Linked DNA regions of Oryzias latipes. The protein of the gene in region 4 purifies or fractionates together with the protein of the main gene of each other region. This does not show direct contact. Links are inferred from orthologs where the notes say so. Each region holds a gene or a part of one and is shown on either strand. Other genes may lie near its edges.

Region 1 (4,413 bases), on a different chromosome or scaffold from region 4:
AGCCCTAAAGTCCATGTCAGAGTTCCTTAGTGGAACAATAAAGTTTTAATGAATTTAAATGACTCTTTGTGTGCTTTACAACACAAAGAATCAGACTTGACAGAGTATTTCATCTGCAGAACTTCGGTGAATATCAATGTAGAGGTTTAACCACTGAGTTTCATTTACAGTCATGGTTCTCAGATCCAGCTCAGACTTCTCACCATTTTAGCCAGGTACCACATCTTGTCTTTGCTGTATTTGATCTGCCTCCTGCAGTGGTGGATCTCCTGCAGGAAGAGGAAAGCCAGCTTGATGGAAAAGCAGCAGCGGAAACGTTCTCAGGCGGTCAGCGGACGGACTCACGGCTGGTCTGCGGGGCTCCTCTGGCTGCTGGGGTGGAAACACCTTCAGGTTCTTCCTCTCCCAGCTCTTTGAGCTCAGCGAAGAGCCGGTGTGGAGCCACGAGAGCCGCTGGGGTGGAGCGGCCAACCTGCTGAGGAAGAGAGCAGCGATGAAAATCATTGCAATCGCTGTGTGCTCACTTTTACATGTTTAACTCTTAAAACTGCCAGTCTTTCAGCCATTTTTACACGTTTTATGTGAATTTTATTCACCTTTTCAAAATTATTATGAAATTATTTTATGTTTATTTAGTAGTTGCTTTAAAAATATTACAATATTTCCTCTGTAATGTTTTCATCAGTTATTTTGCAGCTTTTGCTCAAATATAATAAAAGCAGAAAATAATTCCCATTTTAAACCATATAACCTCGTTTTCTTAGTATGTCCAGGTTGTTTGTCTAATTTAATGTCACTAAGCACGTTTATGTCAGTAGTAAACGTAATCAATCGTTTCTGATCCATTCTAAAATATTCTTTGAATTTAGTTTTTACCTTCAAAAAAAGAGAAAAAAAAACCAAAACGTTTGTTGAAACCGTTTGTTCTCACCTTGAACGAAATAGTCCGGAAAGGCTTCTGACGAAGGAGAAACCTGAACCAAGAGTTAGATAAAGTCAAAGCAGAGACAGACTCAAACAAACCACTTTTAAATGTAAGCATTTGTAGATTTAAATGAAGTTTTTCTTTTCATTTCTCACCAGATCCAGCCCCTGCGGCCGCCATGATGGATTTCTGATCAGCCGCATTCTTCGCCTGACTGTCGTAAATACTTCCGGGGGAAAGAAATGAAGATTATCCGGTCATTTGAGATCTTAAATACTTTAAAAAACGTTTTTACTTTATTTTTTATGATTATATAAAAATATAAATGAAAACGCAATAAGGAAAAATAAAAGAGCAAAGTCTGATATATTTGACCCAGTTAGGGTGCCGTAATCTATGCACGAGATTTACGACAGCAGACACCTCGTGCGGCAGTTTGTGTTGTTACGTTGAGGACACGTGAGGAGCTTGATTTTAAACTTCAGGAGCAGAAATCACCTTTTTTTAAAGTTTGCAGGGCGCCATGGCCGACAGGTCTCTGCCCGCCTCGCCGAACTGGTACTGCTCGCGCTGCAGTGACGTCAGCAGCAGTGGCTTACTGGGTGTCGGTGCCAGAAATGTGGTTTATTTGATTGACGTGAGCGCCTCCGCGTGCCGAGTCACAGGTGAGTGGGATCTCTGCCCTGAAACAGACGAACAGGAAACTGTGGAGTCTGTTCCCGCAGCCACAATCTCCCCCTAACCCTGCCTTCATCCTCCTCATCCTCCTCTTTCCTGGTAGCTTCCCTGTTCCTCCTCTAACCTGTCCAAACATCTCCATCTGCTTTCCTGCATGGGTCTCCAGAACATCTACCTGTCTGTTCCTCTGATGGACTCATTCCTGATCCATCCTGGTCCCAAAGAGAAGCTCAGCATCTTCATCTCTGCTTCCTGTCTCTAAGCCGTCAACATTGGTGCTCTCTCCACCATCTTTCATAATTCATGACACTCTTTGGTCACACCGGACCCTTCCTCCCCCCGTTCCAACCTGCTCCCCCTCTGCCCTTCATGGGGCAGTCGTGTTTTCTTTGAGCTCCGCTCCCACGGCTGACCCGGCTGTTGCTGTGGGTTCTGCAGGACAGCTGGTGGGCCACGCGGACCTGGTGTCGGGCTTTTCTTTCTGTCAGCACGCGGGTCAGAACCATGTCTGCGCCAGCTCCTCCACCGACGGCAGCGTCCGCTTCTGGGACTCAAACAGCAGGACGTTGGTCAGGGAGCAGGTGGCTCATCAGGTGAGGTTTCAGGTCACGTTGGCCCCTCCCACAGGCTCCACTGTTTTAGTCGGAGCTGTCGGAGGGAAGTGGATGTTCTGGTGGTCCTCACGGAGATGCGGTTTTCCACACAGACCCCCGTCTCGGCTCTGCACTGGTCTCCTGTGGACAAAGACCTGGTGGTGTCGGGGGACGAGAAAGGGGTGGTGGTGTGCCACTGGTTCCACACCGGAGACACCGCCAGCTTCTTCCCTGAGCCCAGGACCATCGTCTGCCTCACCTGCTCGCCTCACACCTGGAGCTCTGTGGCTATTGGGTACTGGGAAATCACCATGGTTACCGTCTAGACTCAGAGCAGCTATCCATGTTTTAGAGTTTCCAAGCTTTGTTTTGAAAATCCTTCAGAGAAGTGAATCAGAGGAGAAAGACTGGAGGTCAGGACGTTGTGTGTGATTTTTTTATTTTTTCTTGGCTGCAGGTACAAAGACGGGATGATCGTGCTGGTGGATGTCAGTAAGAAAGGGGAGGTGATGCACCGTCTCCGTGGACACGACAATGAGATCCACTCGCTGGCGTGGTCGCCTGTGTCGGGGGAGTCGGCGCTGTTCAGCAGAGCTGAGGACGACGAAGGTTCTGCAGAACGGAGCGGGTTTGGGCTGCAGGTCGTTTCAGCAGCGACTCTAAACGGATTCTGTGGTTTTGCAGCAGCAAACGGAGGGTCTGCAGGAGAACACGGATGCTACCTCGCTTCTGGGAGCAAAGACCAGACGGTGAGGGTGTGGAGCACCTCCAGGGGCAAAGGTGAGGGGAGAAGATCGGAACATTTTCTCATCGGGAGCTGCAGCAGCTCCTCTGTTCTATGGAGTGATATCTATGCCACCACGTTGCAGACAAAACCTTCTAAGTCGCAAATGAAAATATTAAATATTTGCTTTCAAATAGTTTTTTCTTAACTTGTCCTGTCCAACAGCTGGGCAGGCAGATGAGAGCTGAGGGCCTCTTGTGTTGGACATATTTTACTTTAACAAGAGGGGTTATGAATCTTCAGACAAACCAGAGGTATGACTGAATAAACCCCTTTTGGAATCCAGGCCAAACTTTATTAATTTTTTTGTGTTGGACCGGACGGAAAAGGAAAGGAGGGAAGAAGAGAGAGGGATATTAGAGAGAGTGGCATAGGAGGGTGATTATAAAAAATGGGGGGTAAAACCATGAAGCAGCATAAAGCAACAAGTTTCTGGATGTTTATCATTACGGTAAGTTACAGATAGAATACAAATCTCAAAAGGGCGGGGCCTGTCCACACACTCAAATGTTATCAACACGCTTTCTAGCTGCAAAAATGTCCACATGTCAACATGTACACAAAACAGATAGTGTTCACACACGCATACTTATGCCTCAAACCAACTAGTGTGAAATATTTTATTCAATCATGCAAACTATTAGTGCAAAGGTGAGCTAACACCTGTGTTCAGGTGAGTGTTTATGTTCTTCTAAAATGGATGGTGGAATGTGAAAAGAAGGGAGAGAGAGTGACCAGCCACCCCCATCCCAAGACCCCCGCCGCAGCAGCAGCGGCCCAGAATCCAGATTCTAACCAATCAGGTCAAACATTTGCATGTTTATTTTTGATAAAGCAAAAATATTTTCCTTGACAACTTAGGAAGTTGAGTTCGCAGCGTGGCGGCGTAAATAACACTCCATTCTGGTCATCTTTTTCCTCCTTCCCAAACATCTCTGCCCGTGGAGTTTTCGTATCGAGTAAAAAGCTGTTAAAGGTGAGAACGCTGCTCTCCTCCTGCAGGAGTGATGACCTTAAAGCTGCCGTTTCTGAAGAGAAGAGCCTCCGCCGTCGACCCCGGGGTCAAAGAGCGGATCTGGCTCAGCGTCCTCTGGCCCCCGGGACGACCCACCGAGCTGGTGTCCAGCTGCTTCAGGTAGATCCGGCAGCGTCCCGCTCGGAGCTGCGACCGCACCTTCATGTTCCTCTGTGCTCCCCCAGCGGAGAGCTGCTGCTGTGGGACCTGACCAAAGGCGGGAAGCAGCGCTGGACGTTGTTCGGGTCCTCCTCAGAGGGTCAGAACCACAGCCGGATCGTCTTCAACACCAGCTCGCTGCGTCTGCAGGACGGAGGGGAGCTGCTCTTCAGCACCTCCATGGACCGGGAGGCGAGTCTTCTCCTGCTAAACACAAAAGATCTGATTTCAGAATCAGATCTTTTGGCTTCAAACTCAG
Region 2 (4,479 bases), on a different chromosome or scaffold from region 4:
GATATGTGAAACTTAAATGCTGAAAAGCAACAAGCTTTTGATAAGATGCTCTGAAACTAAAGAAATCAAAATCTAATTCATATTTAACAGGTCAAAAACACAAAAATTAGATTAGATTCAATATTATTGTCATTGCGTGAGTACAAGAACAGGCATCAAAATATTAAATTCTAACAGAATTTTCAAATTAGTTTAAACATGACTATATTTAAACATTCAAAATAAAACTCTTCCATCCAACGGTTAAATGAAAGTCAAAGATGTCAGCATCCCAAATAAACACTAAGGCTTTTTGTATAATAAGGAATATTGTTTTGTTCAACCAAAGACCTTGGATAAGGGACAATTTACATTAAGGTTTCATGATAAGGAGGCGACAGAGATATAAAAGAGATGAAAATTGGACATACACTGCCTGCCCACAGATCCTCCCTCTTTCCTGTAAGTTTGTGGTAGACAAAAATGATATCTCCACGTCTGAAGCTTAGAAAACGGCAGTCGTTACTCTTGTGGTCCCTTATGGCCTGAACCCTGCTCATTAGGCCTACACACACAAACACAAGTGATCAGTTGCATTAAAATGATTAAAATGTCTTTAATAAACCAACTAAGCTAAATTCATGCATAAAATATAACAGTATTTTTTAGGAACTTCAAACTATTTTGACACAAGTGTTTGGACTTACTTTCACACTCAGAATCTCCACAGATCTTGTAGTCGGATAACATTCCTGGATTTATAAGAGGCAAAATCACAAACGTTAGACCCACAATCCAACAGAATTTATGTAGCAGGGAAACATCCATTTTGGGTGCTTTAGCTGGAGTGTATCATAGAAAAAGTCCCATATTTGAGAAGAAATCCCTTTGACCTGCTGTTCAGGAAAGTGGACATTGACTCTGTGCTGTTTCTCTCATGAAACCTCACTAGTGGTAAACGAAAGAATGGAGATAAGATATAACGCTAGCATGAAGCTAATAATTAACAACGTTGCTCGTAACCTGATTGCAGAACAAAACAATTTAGCTCTAATGTCAAAAGTTTATTTTTTTCATTCACCAACTTGATTTGAAATTTTTTTATTTATTAAACAGCTTCTGCGGTTGAATTGAGGTATAATAAACGTGTTTAAATGCGCAACATAAAATGCTCGTGGACTTCGTTCCTTGTCGCTGCCAAAGTTTCAGGCGCTGTCACGTCACTATGGAAACAAATCTCGCCTCGCGCACAAAATTGGCGTCATCAAATCTAGTTTGAAAAACAAAATGGCGCTTGTTGGACAACAGTAAATACTAGCATCTGCCTAGTCTTCGTTTTAATGTCCTGATTTCGCTTAAGAGTTTTACATTATTAGCGGAAAATGAAGTCGGATGTTGAGGAGTTAATGCCAAGGCTGCTTCCGGTGGAGTTAGGACAAGACACCGAGCACGTAGACCTCAGCGGTCCACCGAGGAACCCCCAGGAGTACTTGCGACAGGTCCAGTAAGTTCTCCCTTCTGTTCTCATTAAAGTGGAAAGCCAGTGTTTTCATAATTAAAATGCTTTAGAATAGCAAAGCATTGGTATAAAAAAAATTGTATAAAACCAAAGTTCCTATTTACAGTCTATGTATCGAACCGTGGAATTAGCTCTCCACTTAGTATATTTAAGTGTTTCTGTTGTTTCTTTTCAACAAACTTTATTATCAATACTTATTGTATTAACTGAATAGAATAATATAGGTAAAAGAAAACACTACACAGGTTGCACAACACGTGCCACCTGTACTTTAATAATCAGTCCAGTCCAATTATTTTTGAACATAGAATATAAGTAAATAAAATATAATATGCCGTTTCTTTAAAATATCAAATGTTCTTGTCGCCTTCAATATGGACTGCTTATATGTATGAATGAGGAATGTCCCAAAAATAATGAACAGTTCAGTAACAAAACTTACCTTTTTGGGCAAACCATGTAATTAAAAATATAATATGACATTAAAAAAAGAATTCAGAGAGTTATATTAAATTTTGTGGTTATAAATTCACGCAGATCCGACCAAAATTGCTTGGTGTACATAGAAAGAATAAATAAATGAAAATTGTCTCCTTACTTGATTGGCAAAAAACAAAATTGTTCTGTTTATTTTAAATCTTCTTAGTGTATCTTTAACTGGGTAGAAAGCAAAATAAAACCTATTTTATTTTAATATTAATACAGTATTTATGAACAGAAGTATTAGTCTTTTCCCAATTTAAATCACCCATGGTTGAATACCAAAAAGATTTAGCAGCAAGAAATTCAACTTCTTCTAATAAAAAGATTATTGATTTCAACATCTGTGAATGACTCGTTTTAGAAATTGAAGAGAAGATATTAGCTGTGTTTCCCAGTGACCCCTCACCTCCTTGTGATGTAGGTTGGAAGCGTCCATGTGTCCAGAGGTGGTGGTTGCTCAAATTGACCCTAAGAAACTAAAGAAGAAGCAAACAGTCCATGTATCTGTAAGTGAAAATCTATTTATTTGGTCAAATCTTTATTTGTTAAGGCTTTGTCTGTGTGGTGAGGTCATGTATAGTTGACTCTGCAGCCAAGAGACATGATAATCTGGAAAACCATATTTTCTGTCTCAGGTAGCTGGGTGCCACGCTCCCCCAGTAGGTTTCTCCCCCAGCCTTCACTGGCAACAACAACAAGTCAGTAATTTTTCTGACGTGAGACGGGTAAGAAAAACTAAAAGAACAGTGTGTTGCTTTTATATCTCACTTATATTTCTGCTTATAATGTCTAATTTTTTAATTTACTAGAGCATCACCAAGAATAGAAAACATTGGAGCAGCCAGACTCTGGATAATAATGTACGCATGGTAAGATGTCAAATCCCGCTGCAATGTTAGCAAAGGTCAAAGGTGCTCATTTGCATAATATTTAAGTGTGATCTTTTACAGCCAAACCTTACAGATGAGGAGGGCTGGAAGAAGTTTTGTTTAGGAGAGAGGATCTACTTGGGCGCATCAGCCTGCCCCACAGATGCAAAACCAGAGGCAGAACTGGACTATAGCAAGGTTGTCAACTAAACTGTTGTTAGAATTTTTAAACGCCAAAGTTTTGAAACAAAAAGTTTCAAATAAGACTTTTTTTCTTTTTTGTTAACTTGTTCTGTCCAACAGCTGAGCAAACAGATCAGAGCTGAAGGCCTCTTGTGTTTGAGAGATTTTACTGTTACAATAGGGGGTCATGAATCTTCTGACACACAAGGGGTATATTTATTTAAACTCTTCTGTATTTGAGGGTAAACTTTATTTATATTGATTATGTTTGTATACCTGTTTTGAAAAGGGAAAAGGGGGGGGGGGTTAAAGGAAGTTGGAGCATGATCAAAGAAGTAGAGTGGGGGTAGATTCAGAATCATAAAGCAAAAAGTTGCTGGAGGTTTATCATTATTACTGTCAGATTAAGGCATTAGTCAAAAGGAGCTAACAGGTATGTTACAAACATACCTGTGTGAAATCTTCACATTCCATATGTCAACACATACACGATACAACTACAGCTCACACAAAAATACTTATGCATACATAAAGAGAGAGGAGCCAAGAAAGCACACCAACTTGACCGAGGCAGTTTGACCAGCCAGGGCTCTCCATGATTGTCTCATTGCTGACCCCAACCCTCTGTAGTCCCATCCTGATGGAGGACCCCCTTCCCAGAGGACAGAGCCAACCAGTCTACCAGCCCCCCCCCCCCCCCCCCCCCCCCCCCCCCCCCCCAGATCCTGCAGCCATGGCAGGTGTCACCCAGAGCAACTGCAAACCCCAAGAGGGTTGCCCCACCCCGTCCCAGGACCAGAAGAGTGCAGAGGTGCAGGCCCAGGGTCTCCTGCACCTGGGCCTGCACCTCCTCCTCCTGTCCTAACCCCCCCTGAAAAGACCACTCCCCAAGCCAAGCCAGACCCCCTCAACCGCACCGACCAAACTCTCCCAAGACCATGCAGTACCCCCACCTGCCCACTTCCAGGCGCCCAACCAGGTCCCCCTAACTAACGAAGCCTCCACTGCCCCCCTCCAGCCCCAGAAATAAGGCACTTTAATAGGCATGTTACATTGAGGGACAACGTGAAAACTAGATTTTACTGATGTGTTTGTTTTCATTTTTTTTCAGGTTGGGTTTCCTCCATTCTTAACCATCGTATGCAGACTAAACCAGGTAATTGTTTTTTAACTGAACAGATGATAAAAAAGTAATTTCAATCTTCTTTTGAGTAAATAAGCTTTATAAAAATGTAGAACATAAAGGAGCAGGGATTTGGCAAAATCTCAATTTGTGGATGTGAAATGTGAAGTAAAGACCCACTCAGATGAAAATTGGGTTTTTAACATGTTCTTGTGGTATTTTCTGATGATGGCCTTGTATGTCACATAGCCACTACTTACATTTGCATTTTCTTCATATGAAATTTTGGTCTTTATGTGAATTCAGTTTTGAGCTATTTACAT
Region 3 (4,612 bases), on a different chromosome or scaffold from region 4:
TCAGCCAGTGAGAGCTGGAGGCTCCTGGCTGCACATCCAAGGACAAAGCTGTGTGAAGAAGCTGCAGACTCAACTCTGCATCCACAGAGGAGGAACCTGAGCAGATGTGGAGAACGGATGAAGAACATGTGACGTATTATGTAAAATGTTGAATTCTGATAAATCAAAGTGTACAAAAATAAAACGACTTAGTCATTAGAGGCTATAACAGATGAGGAGCTCATGAACGTTGCACCACTTCTAACAGTTCAAACTGATGATTCTGACACCAAATTTCAGAATAAAAGATTCTTAAGAGTCTTCTTCAAATGTCAGGAACATTGTAAAGGATCCTCACCTACAGATGAAAGGTTAGGGAGGACGAAGGTGTTTATAACCTCCTGAGGTGACAGGAAGCTTTGTTCCTTTCCCTCGTCCACGTTTGGACCCATCAGCAGACCGAGGAATTTGGCAAACTGTTCCTTCTCGTTGGCTGACAGGGACTTGTCCTTGACCGTCTGGTGTAGGCACCTGCAGAGCAGACTAGAGGTCCCGTCTTTAGCCGTGTTCTCCTCTCCGCTCCTCCTTCCATCTCCATCTCCTCCTCTCTGACCGCTGAGTCCAGGCAGATGCTGCAGGATCTTTGCCATCATCGAAAATGCTCCTTTATTGAAAACAGCTGAGTGGCAGCAGGACCGTAAGGCGCCTTCTGGGTTCTGAAAAGCCACTCTGGCTACGAGTGAGACGGCCGTGGTCAGGTTCCCTTGAGGAACAGCTGAGGACGCTCCACTTCCTGCTTGGATGATGCAGTTGAAGGCCATGTTGAGCTCCTGCTCAAACCCTCCAGCCACCTCAGGAGGAACGGGGAATTCGAAGAAGCCCTTCCTAGACAATCTTAACATGGACACCAAGGCTTTGTTCATGTCTTCTAAGGAAAGGCTGGAGAAGATATCTGCTATGATTTTCATCAGCTTTCTGCACTGGCTGACGTCTGCATTCTCCATGCGTAGTTTGTTCATTAGAGTAGAGGAGAGGCCGATCACGGCGTCATGCTGACGGAAGGAAGCTTGGCTCCTCTCCAGGCAATCCATCCAGCCTTCATCACAGTGCGTCCAGGGCGGCTCTCTGGCAAACAAGGCAGCGAAGCTCTCGTGGTCTTCCAGGCGGTGAGTGATGATGGTGGAGAGCACCTGAGCATGCACCTCAGGGCTGCTCTCTGTGACAGGAAGAACCAGAGACTTCAGCACAGCCACGAGCAGGTTCTTCTCTGTCGCTGCTGTGGGAGCTTCTTCCAGAGCAGTGGAGACTCTCTGGACACTTTGCTCCAGCTGGAAAGCAGAGTAGGAGGAGCGAGAGCCGTCCTGGACGTCCAAGAGTCCTCGGTCTTTCCAAGACTGACTAAGTTCTGCTATGACCCTCAGAGCTTCACCCAGATCCATCCTCCTGACTTTGAACTGAGACGGGGAAATCGAAGCCCGTAAATGTCTCTGAGCTTCTTCAACAAGTTCAGGTTGAAGTTTTTCATTCTTTCCTTTAGTACTGATGGCTTTACACAGGATGTCCATCTTCTCCTGAGCTGATAGAACAACTTCTCGGTCTATCAGAAATGATGTAAAAAGAGCATCAAGGGACATGGAGAGAGACTGGAAGCACAGGTCTAATGAGGAGACGTGATCTGCCATGTCTTTGAGGGCATTGAGGAGAATGTGGAAAACATCAGCCTCTGCTGAGTCTTGTGTCTCCAGCTTTAACCTCTTGGCAGCCTGAGGAGACAAACTAGAAGACATGGAGGTGAGACGAGCAACCTGCTTGGCAAACATCATCTCCATGCTCTCGTCGTTTCTGAGCTTGGCTTGCTCTTGGCCTTTCCACAGCTCCCGCCACATCTCTAGAAAGAAATGAACATCCTCTTCGCTTGTAGGCTCGCTCTTCACATGCTCTACCAGCCTCTTCAGCTCCAAGCAGATCAAATCTTCAGGAAGATGAAGGAGAAAACCTGCGTAAACATGTGAAGCAGCAGCGTTCTTCACCAACTCCAACAGGACAACATGGTTAACTTCAGGGAGGCTCTGCTGGAAGGAAAAAAAGGGGTTCTCCCTCCACGCTCTCTCAACATCCTCCTCAGCGCTCAAGAGCTTCAGCCACACAGCACAGACCACCTTCTTCGTCCAGGTCGAGCTGTGATGACCGTCAGCTTCCTCCAGTTCACAGACTTCCTGCAGAGCCTGTAGGATCGGGCGTCCCGCCGCGATCCAGTCGGATTTGTTCACGCAGGATAGAAATGAGGGGCGACACAGTTTGTCTGCCAGCAGGAAAGCCCCCTGCAGAACCGCAGAGCCTGAAATCACATGACATAATCAGAGCCCTGAAGTGCCAATCACATCATCATATCAATGTAAAGACATCTTAAAGATAACAACAACAAAAGCAATAAAATAACAAGAAAACGTTACATTTGATAAATCTAAACAAAATTAAAGCGGGGGGTGGGGTGGGGTGTCAAGTTTTCATTCAAATATGCAGTAAGAAACAAGAATTGCAAAAACAATTTTGTTTTTGCATTCCAGGACTGCTGTGTGATGTTTTAAAACAGTAATTTGTGGATGTGATTTGAACTTCAGGGCCACCGTATCCACAGATAAAAACACCAAAGCTTCTTCTCAACTTTCAGATATGATCTCCAATAAATAACTCAGTTTTCATGGACAGAGCCATATAGTTTTTATTGTGTTTAATGTGTGAGTGTTTGTGTGCGTTCGTCTTTATGTCAGGATCAGTGTAGATCTTGTTGTTATTCACCTTTTGCCAAATCCCTTCAGGGGATCCATATGTCATTCATTTTACCACACCAAACTCAGTTTCCCACAATTCAAAGCGGTTCACCGCGTGTGTAAATCGGTATGAATGCGTCGTGTGTTGGAAAAACAATTTAAATTAAAAAACATTGCTTTTCTTTATTAAATAATATTTTCTTTTGTAAGAATTTATTTTAACTTAAAGTCAGTGACTTAACTGGTCTACAGAGAGAGTAAAAATAAAAGCTATTTTACCTTTGTCCATTATCACCGTGATAATTGTTGCGTGCAGGTAAATACCAGTGTAATCCGTTTACCTGGAAACTCTCTAAACGCGCCGTTACGTTCACGGTTTCCGAAGTTTAAAGTTAGATTTCTGAAACAACATAATCCAACTAAAAACATCCACAGCAGAACTGCGCAGCCGCAAACACGCTTCCGCCATGCGACGCATATACCGGATGTTTGTTCACAGCGACGCACCCGGATAAATTCGGTACTGCAGTTTTAACGTTTTTCTTCGGAGCGAGATTTAAATATTTTACATCAGATTTAAACGTCATTTCATTTGTTATTGTGTTTATGAATATATATAAAAATGTTTTTTTTTTGTTATGGTTTTAATCTTGTAGGTCATGTGACGCGAGCTAAAGGCAAATCGTTTTTTTTCTGCAGAAGTGAAAATGAAAGTACTTTTTAGATCCTGGCTGCTGGTAGAAACAAGGTGAACCAAGAAATTCAATTGAATAATCAAAATGGGAGTATTTCAGAAAGTTGTTATTTACTTTTATGTGATTGGAGGTAAGTTATTTTAAAGTATGTTTGCAGCTGTTCTATCAGTTAGTTCATGAAAGGAACTAAATTTAAATGAAGGGTGTGTTTAATGTTAGTTTTTCTGTGTTCTCAGTTGTGAGGAGCGTTCAGCAGATACCATGGCTGTCATGTCAGTTCACTGACGAACATGTGTCCAACAACAGTGAAGGACACATTGAGACACAGCTCATTCCCAGAGAGGCTATGGTTCAGTTTGGTCTAAAAGGAGACGCTCCTGTCAATCCCCACGCCATCACCTTCCTGATCACTGGTGAGCTTCTGTCCAAGACACGAATCGGGGCAGGAAAGAATTACATTCATGACTTTTTATGTTGCTTTAGTTTCAAAACTGGACCTGCAGCGGTCCATTGAAGGGGTGGAGGTAGAGGAGTTGGAGTGTGAGGTCCGACGGTACAGCACAGAGGGCATCCATGTCCGCTGGCCCGCCCTGGGGGCAGAGGGGTACAACCGCTGGTACACCTGCATCCTCAGACACAGAAAGGACAAGTTCAGCGTCACTGCTTTCCTCAGACATCCGTCTGACCAACCTCCTCCAGGACAGCAGGACTACCGCAGCTGGCCGCCCATCGCCGACCGAGAGGTTCTTACCACCACAGGTAGGTGTCCCCTTCATCTGACGCTGCTTCTGCATGTCAGAACGAAGGCCTGTAAGAGGGTTCATCCTATTTGTGTCCATAGTCGCCATGTTGCTGAAAACAGAGACTCCATCTGTGAAAGTCAGACTACGCTCGCAGCCCAAACTCCACTGTCAGTTCAGCATCGACCACCGAGGCCCAAACGTCACCGTGGAGTGGCACTGGCAGTCCCGCGGAGAGAGAAGGATGCTCTTCCGCTACAACAGCCGCTCCGGGGAGATTCATGGCTCTGGAGTTGGGAAGAAGGCCCTGGCTGGGGGAGATGCCTCCTACACTCTCCCCTTCACCAAGATGAGCAGCGAAGGAAGCTACATTTGTTCTTTGACTGTGAACCCGCTTTTCGCCAACATGGAGCTCAACCTGCACGTC
Region 4 (4,870 bases):
TCAGTGTCAGATTTAAAATATTCAGTCTGTATAAAATTGAACAAACCAATATTTTTATAAAATAATTATTTTTTCTTTTTCTTTTTTTTAAAAAGTGAAATTCATTTTATTTTAAGATCCATTGGCCTCTGTGAATGAATGTGTAATAAGAATTGATTAGGCTACCATGTTGGTTGAGGCATGTTTTCCAATTGGGCTGCACGGTGGCGCAGTGGTTAGCGCTCTTGCCTCACAGCAAGAATCCCCCTGGTTCAAGTCCCAGCTGGGGGACATGAAAAACAGAACATCAATGGGGGACCTTTCTGTGTGGAGTTTGCATGTTCTCCCCGTGCATGCGTGGGTTCTCTCCGGGGTCTCCGGCTTCCTCCCACCATCCAAAAACATGCTTCATAGGTTAATTGGCAACTCTAAATTGACCCTAGGTGTGAGTGCGGGAGTGAATGGGTGTGTGAGTGAGGACATTCTACCCTGCAACAAACTGGCGACTTGTTCAGGGTGTCCCCCCTGCCTTTGCCCACAAGTGGCCGGGATAGGCTCTGGCAGCCTCAAAATTCATAGAAAATGAATGAATGAATGTTTTCCAATTGGGTAAAAAAACAAGAATAAAGCTGTTATTTTGCCTTCACGCTACTGGTCCGGCCCACTTGAGATCAGACGGGTTGAATGTGGCCCCCGAACCAAAATGAGTTTGACACCCCTGCTTTAATCGATTCAAATTTGTAATTAACAAAATCACCCAGGAAATGTATGGAGATTACATGTATATTTTGAAGGTCTCAAAAGATGGCTAAAACCCTCCAGGTTAGATGTAAATTTGAACTAAAATCTATAAAAATCTATAATCTAAATGTGTGATGTTAAACAAATATAGGTGACACAAATGTAGTGTCAGGAATAATTAAAAAAAAACTTGATAAAGCGTAAGTATGTATTTTTTAGAGTTCAGTAATTTCCTAGCTGTTTAAGAGCATTTTCAATGTTAAAAACAAAATTTCATTACATTTTCATTTTTTATTGAGTTTTTCTCTTTAAAGTGTTTTTTATAATTATGGAAAGTTTCAATACGGATCTGTGCATGTTACCAACCCTGGTCTTGTGTGTATTTTTGTGTGTTCTTGTCTTGTGTGAATGCTGCGTGTAATTTTTCACCTCCTGCTTACGTCCAGCTTCCTTTTTGCTTTTCTTTAACTCTATTATTCAAAACAAATAAAACAAATATGCATGAAAAGAACAATATTCATAACAACAAGAATGCCAGGGGATGTTACATGTATTACAAAATAAATATTACAATGACAGATTACTATGCATTGACAATGTTCAACGACAGACAGTTTTCCAGCTTCCTTTTTGCTGCTGCCTCCTGCAGAGCTGGTTGAGGGGGTTCACATTCCACCAATCACCAGGCAAGGAGGGAGGTTTAAAATCTCCCAGAAACCCCTGCTCCAGAGGCGGCTGAATGACCAGGGAGGCATCTGTTCCTCAGCCAGCCCCTGCTGTCTGTCTAGCTTGCCGCAAGATCAAAACTACATCTGTTGTCATAGTAACAAATTAAATTGCAATTCCACTGCCCATCCCCTTGGTTGCAACTCTGAGTAAGCAATTGCCCTCCACGCCAGTAGGTGGCAGACATTGCAATTTGAGGTCACTGCTACCTGGGGCTTTCAGTTCTGATAAGCAGCGTGGAAAAAAAACAGCGGAAAGAAACATGGCTTCCTCTGTGAGAAAAGCAGGCCATGACATCGAAACGCGAAATCGGACCGAGGACGTGCTCCTGTCGGAGGGCATCGACTTCAGCTCTCTGTTGTTATCGCAGCCCGTTCTGGACGGACTGTCCGCTGCTGGTTTCCAGAAACCTTCGCCGATACAACTCAAGGCGATCCCGCTCGGCCGATGTGGACTCGGTTGGCACTTCACTTGTTTTGTTTTTTGATGACTGTTATCGATCTCATTTTTGAAGTAGGTCTTACTCTAGATGTCTTGTTTCAGATTTAATCGTACAAGCCAAGTCTGGCACAGGAAAGACATGCGTGTTCTGCACCATCGCTCTGGACTCTCTGATCCTGGAGAACTCTGCCACTCAGGTGAGTCAGTGAGTCAGTGTTCCCATGTTGTTTTGCATCATGCATTTATGAACAAAAGCTTTAGTGTCCACAGTAAAATTTTATTATAGAAAGCTCATTGGTTTTGGAAGTTCCAATTAAATTAGGTTAACCATCTGTCTTTCCAAAAGAATTTGGTAATATATTAAAGGGAATATAAAATGTAATGTTTGAATCTAGTCTCAAATTTCCCAATTTTTATAGATCTTACAGTATTTAAGAAATGTCGATTTAAACCAAAAATCTCAACTTTTATAGTCCATCGCATTTTGCCCATAAACAGCTTGGGTTCTCCTGCAGGTTCTTGTTTTGGCTCCCACGCGGGAAATAGCGGTGCAGATCCACTCAGTGGTCATGGCCATCGGCTGTGCCATGGAGGGCCTGGAGTGCCACGTTTTCATCGGGGGCAGGCCTGTGAGCCAAGACAAATCCCACCTGAAGAAGTGTCATATAGCTGTGGGGTCACCTGGTAAGAGCCCACTGGACATCCCATAAACCGCTCACGTAATTTTTTAGTTTGGTATCTGATGACGAGGATGCTCCCGTTGTCCCCTTAGGTCGCATCAAACAGCTGATCGAGCTGGGCATGCTGTCCACTGCCAGCATCCGACTGTTTGTTCTGGATGAAGCTGACAAACTGCTGGAGGAGGGGAGCTTCCAGGAGCAAATCAAGTAACAAGGACACAACTGCTGTTGCATTATAGTTCCTTTCTTGTGTTTTCCCCTTCACATGTTGTGTTCAAATTGAAATAAAAATGAAGCAGGACATTGTTTACTCTTTCTTAAGCTGGATCTTCTCAGCTCTGCCCGTCAACAAACAGATGCTGGCACTTTCTGCCACATACCCAGAATCCCTGGCTCAACACCTTACCCGCTACATGAACGAGCCTACTTTTGTTCGACTCAATCCTAAAGACATGGGGCTGAAAGGTGAGGTCCACTTTAGAAAAAGTTCAATCAGCACACCTTTCATTTCCTGACAAACTTCTTTCCTTTTGTTTTGGTTTTATTTGATTATCCAGCGCTAAAAAACTACAGTTGTAGATCTTTTTAAAGCACTGATGTCGTCTTTTTAAAAAATAAAAAAGCTTTTGAGTTGATTTAACAAAATATATTTTCATTGAAACGCTTTTCAGGATTGAGCGTTCTTTGGTGTCAAACCTGATCCCTGACCTGTATCTCACATATGCTGTTTTTTGTTCCCCTGGCAGGTCTGAAGCAGTTTTACAAGCTGGTGCCTTCCCATCCTCTTCCTCACAAGATTTTTGAGGAGAAAGTGCAGCATTTACTGGAACTGTTCAGTAAAATTCCATTCAACCAAGCTTTAGTGTTTTCCAACCTGCACACACGGTAGGTGCGCTCTCCGTGTTAACCTTCGCTCCGCAGCTGCTGCTGTCGATTAATTGTTTCACCAAGCGCGGAGAGAATGGATTTCTTGCTGAAATGGGCTGGGGGTTTTTTTTTGCGGCAGGGCGCAGCACCTGGCAGACATCGTGTCCTCCAAAGGCTTACCTGCTGTCTGCATATCAGGTGAGGCAGCAACTGTAAAATCATTGTAATGAGCAGCAATAGAATCAGTTTTAAGAAATAAGTTACATGTACATGTTTTCATTTGCTAATTTGAATATTTTTAACAACCATAATTTAGGTGGGACCATGACAGTTTTTGAAGCTTTGTGGTTTTTTTAATTTTTTTTTTTTATGGCAAAGGTAAAGTTTCATGTGCGGTTATAGGTGGTGCGTGTTAATCTGCACAGGTGGACTCAGTCAGGATCAGAGACTGGAAGCCATGTCAAAACTGAAGCAATACCAGTGCAGAGTGCTCATCTCCACTGACCTGGTGAGAGAACGGCTTTGCTGTTATTACTTTTACTTTTTTTATTTTTATTTTTATTTTGTTTTTACAAGGAGGGATTCTGACCTTTTTATATTTCATCAACCACAGCCTTATTTAAACAAGAACGAAAGCAGAAATGTAAAATATCTGGTTTCCTGTCCTTAATAATGTTGGTGCTGCTTCCTGTTTGCTTCCCTTTGACAGACGTCCAGAGGAATCGATGCTGAGAAAGTAAACCTGGTTATAAACCTGGACGTGCCGCAGGATTGGGAAACTTACATGCACAGGATCGGACGGGCTGGGCGCTTTGGTACGCCTCCAACAACATGGAGCAATCTTTGTGAATCATTGAGGAAGTCTGGATGGATTATTAGTGGAGGAGTGTTGCGTCTTTGTTGCAGAATCCTTCATCTGTTCAGGTTTTCAGGAACCAGCAGCTTTTTGCTGCAGATGTTTCCTCATCAGCTTAACTCTCACTCAAATACCTTCAGGTCAAAATGTCCATCTGAATTTTTTAGAATTCTGTGCTTTTTTTTTTGCATTCATTTATATTCAGATTTGAAGGGAACGTATTGGAACTCTGAAGTTTTTAGTGTAACCAAATCGATCTAATTTGTTGATTGGTGTGAAAGGGGTGTATCAATGTATCATCACGACTTTTACTCCATTTCAATTTAGTTCTACAGAAAGGAGAGCTTTCTTTGTGATTTCTCTGTTTGGTTACTAGGCACTCATGGGCTGGCTGTGACCTACTGTTGCCATGGTGAAGAAGAAAACAAGATGATGGCCATCGCTCAGAAATGTGGTCTTAGTTTGCATGCTCTGCCATGTGAGTCCTGCTGACATTTTTGACTTTTTGACATGAAAATGCCTTGCCGTCTAATGACACTGTTGTTTTAGTGGTGTTGGAGCCTGGGCTGATGGATGAGTC

What was found. The genes of interacting proteins can lie anywhere in the genome.
Region 1: the proteins of ddx20 (region 4) and gemin5 purify together in Homo sapiens (affinity purification with western blotting; 6 studies listed by BioGRID and IntAct, counting the BioPlex papers as one, with this or other methods). This does not show direct contact. The link is inferred for Oryzias latipes from reciprocal best matches to the Homo sapiens genes DDX20 and GEMIN5.
Region 2: the proteins of ddx20 (region 4) and gemin2 purify together in Homo sapiens (affinity purification with mass spectrometry; 6 studies listed by BioGRID and IntAct, counting the BioPlex papers as one, with this or other methods). This does not show direct contact. The link is inferred for Oryzias latipes from reciprocal best matches to the Homo sapiens genes DDX20 and GEMIN2.
Region 3: the proteins of ddx20 (region 4) and gemin4 purify together in Homo sapiens (co-immunoprecipitation; 7 studies listed by BioGRID and IntAct, counting the BioPlex papers as one, with this or other methods). This does not show direct contact. The link is inferred for Oryzias latipes from reciprocal best matches to the Homo sapiens genes DDX20 and GEMIN4.

Annotation. Positions count from the first base shown.
Region 1 is NC_019872.2:29,402,339-29,406,751, reverse strand, and holds the start of gemin5 (gem-associated protein 5), read left to right. Parts: upstream 1-1,163; 5' UTR 1,164-1,167; coding exon 1,168-1,181; intron 1,182-1,321; exon of another isoform or gene 1,322-1,435; coding exon 1,436-1,590; intron 1,591-2,041; coding exon 2,042-2,196; intron 2,197-2,309; coding exon 2,310-2,491; intron 2,492-2,653; coding exon 2,654-2,805; intron 2,806-2,880; coding exon 2,881-2,976; intron 2,977-3,982; coding exon 3,983-4,115; intron 4,116-4,180; coding exon 4,181-4,346; intron 4,347-4,413. Other genes in the region: mrpl22 (39S ribosomal protein L22, mitochondrial), read right to left, coding at 204-269, 346-475, 932-974, 1,081-1,105. UniProt on the Homo sapiens protein: The SMN complex catalyzes the assembly of small nuclear ribonucleoproteins (snRNPs), the building blocks of the spliceosome, and thereby plays an important role in the splicing of cellular pre-mRNAs.
Region 2 is NC_019880.2:19,642,985-19,647,463, reverse strand, and holds the start of gemin2 (gem-associated protein 2), read left to right. Parts: upstream 1-1,229; 5' UTR 1,230-1,361; coding exon 1,362-1,483; intron 1,484-2,387; exon of another isoform or gene 2,388-2,402; coding exon 2,403-2,487; intron 2,488-2,616; coding exon 2,617-2,706; intron 2,707-2,790; coding exon 2,791-2,850; intron 2,851-2,931; coding exon 2,932-3,048; intron 3,049-4,144; coding exon 4,145-4,189; intron 4,190-4,479. Other genes in the region: transport and Golgi organization protein 1 homolog, read right to left, coding at 411-544, 687-807. UniProt on the Homo sapiens protein: The SMN complex catalyzes the assembly of small nuclear ribonucleoproteins (snRNPs), the building blocks of the spliceosome, and thereby plays an important role in the splicing of cellular pre-mRNAs.
Region 3 is NC_019871.2:19,887,017-19,891,628, reverse strand, and holds the start of gemin4 (gem-associated protein 4), read right to left. Parts: upstream 3,251-4,612; 5' UTR 3,180-3,250; coding exon 3,092-3,179; exon of another isoform or gene 3,040-3,091; coding exon of another isoform or gene 3,030-3,039; intron 2,318-3,029; coding exon 338-2,317; intron 97-337; coding exon 1-96. Other genes in the region: tapasin-related protein, read left to right, coding at 3,530-3,575, 3,682-3,858, 3,929-4,204, 4,287-4,612. UniProt on the Homo sapiens protein: The SMN complex catalyzes the assembly of small nuclear ribonucleoproteins (snRNPs), the building blocks of the spliceosome, and thereby plays an important role in the splicing of cellular pre-mRNAs.
Region 4 is NC_019865.2:14,534,820-14,539,689, reverse strand, and holds the start of ddx20 (probable ATP-dependent RNA helicase DDX20), read left to right. Parts: upstream 1-1,655; 5' UTR 1,656-1,708; coding exon 1,709-1,904; intron 1,905-1,989; coding exon 1,990-2,084; intron 2,085-2,402; coding exon 2,403-2,571; intron 2,572-2,659; coding exon 2,660-2,774; intron 2,775-2,889; coding exon 2,890-3,032; intron 3,033-3,313; coding exon 3,314-3,452; intron 3,453-3,573; coding exon 3,574-3,632; intron 3,633-3,859; coding exon 3,860-3,942; intron 3,943-4,143; coding exon 4,144-4,249; intron 4,250-4,666; coding exon 4,667-4,768; intron 4,769-4,839; coding exon 4,840-4,870.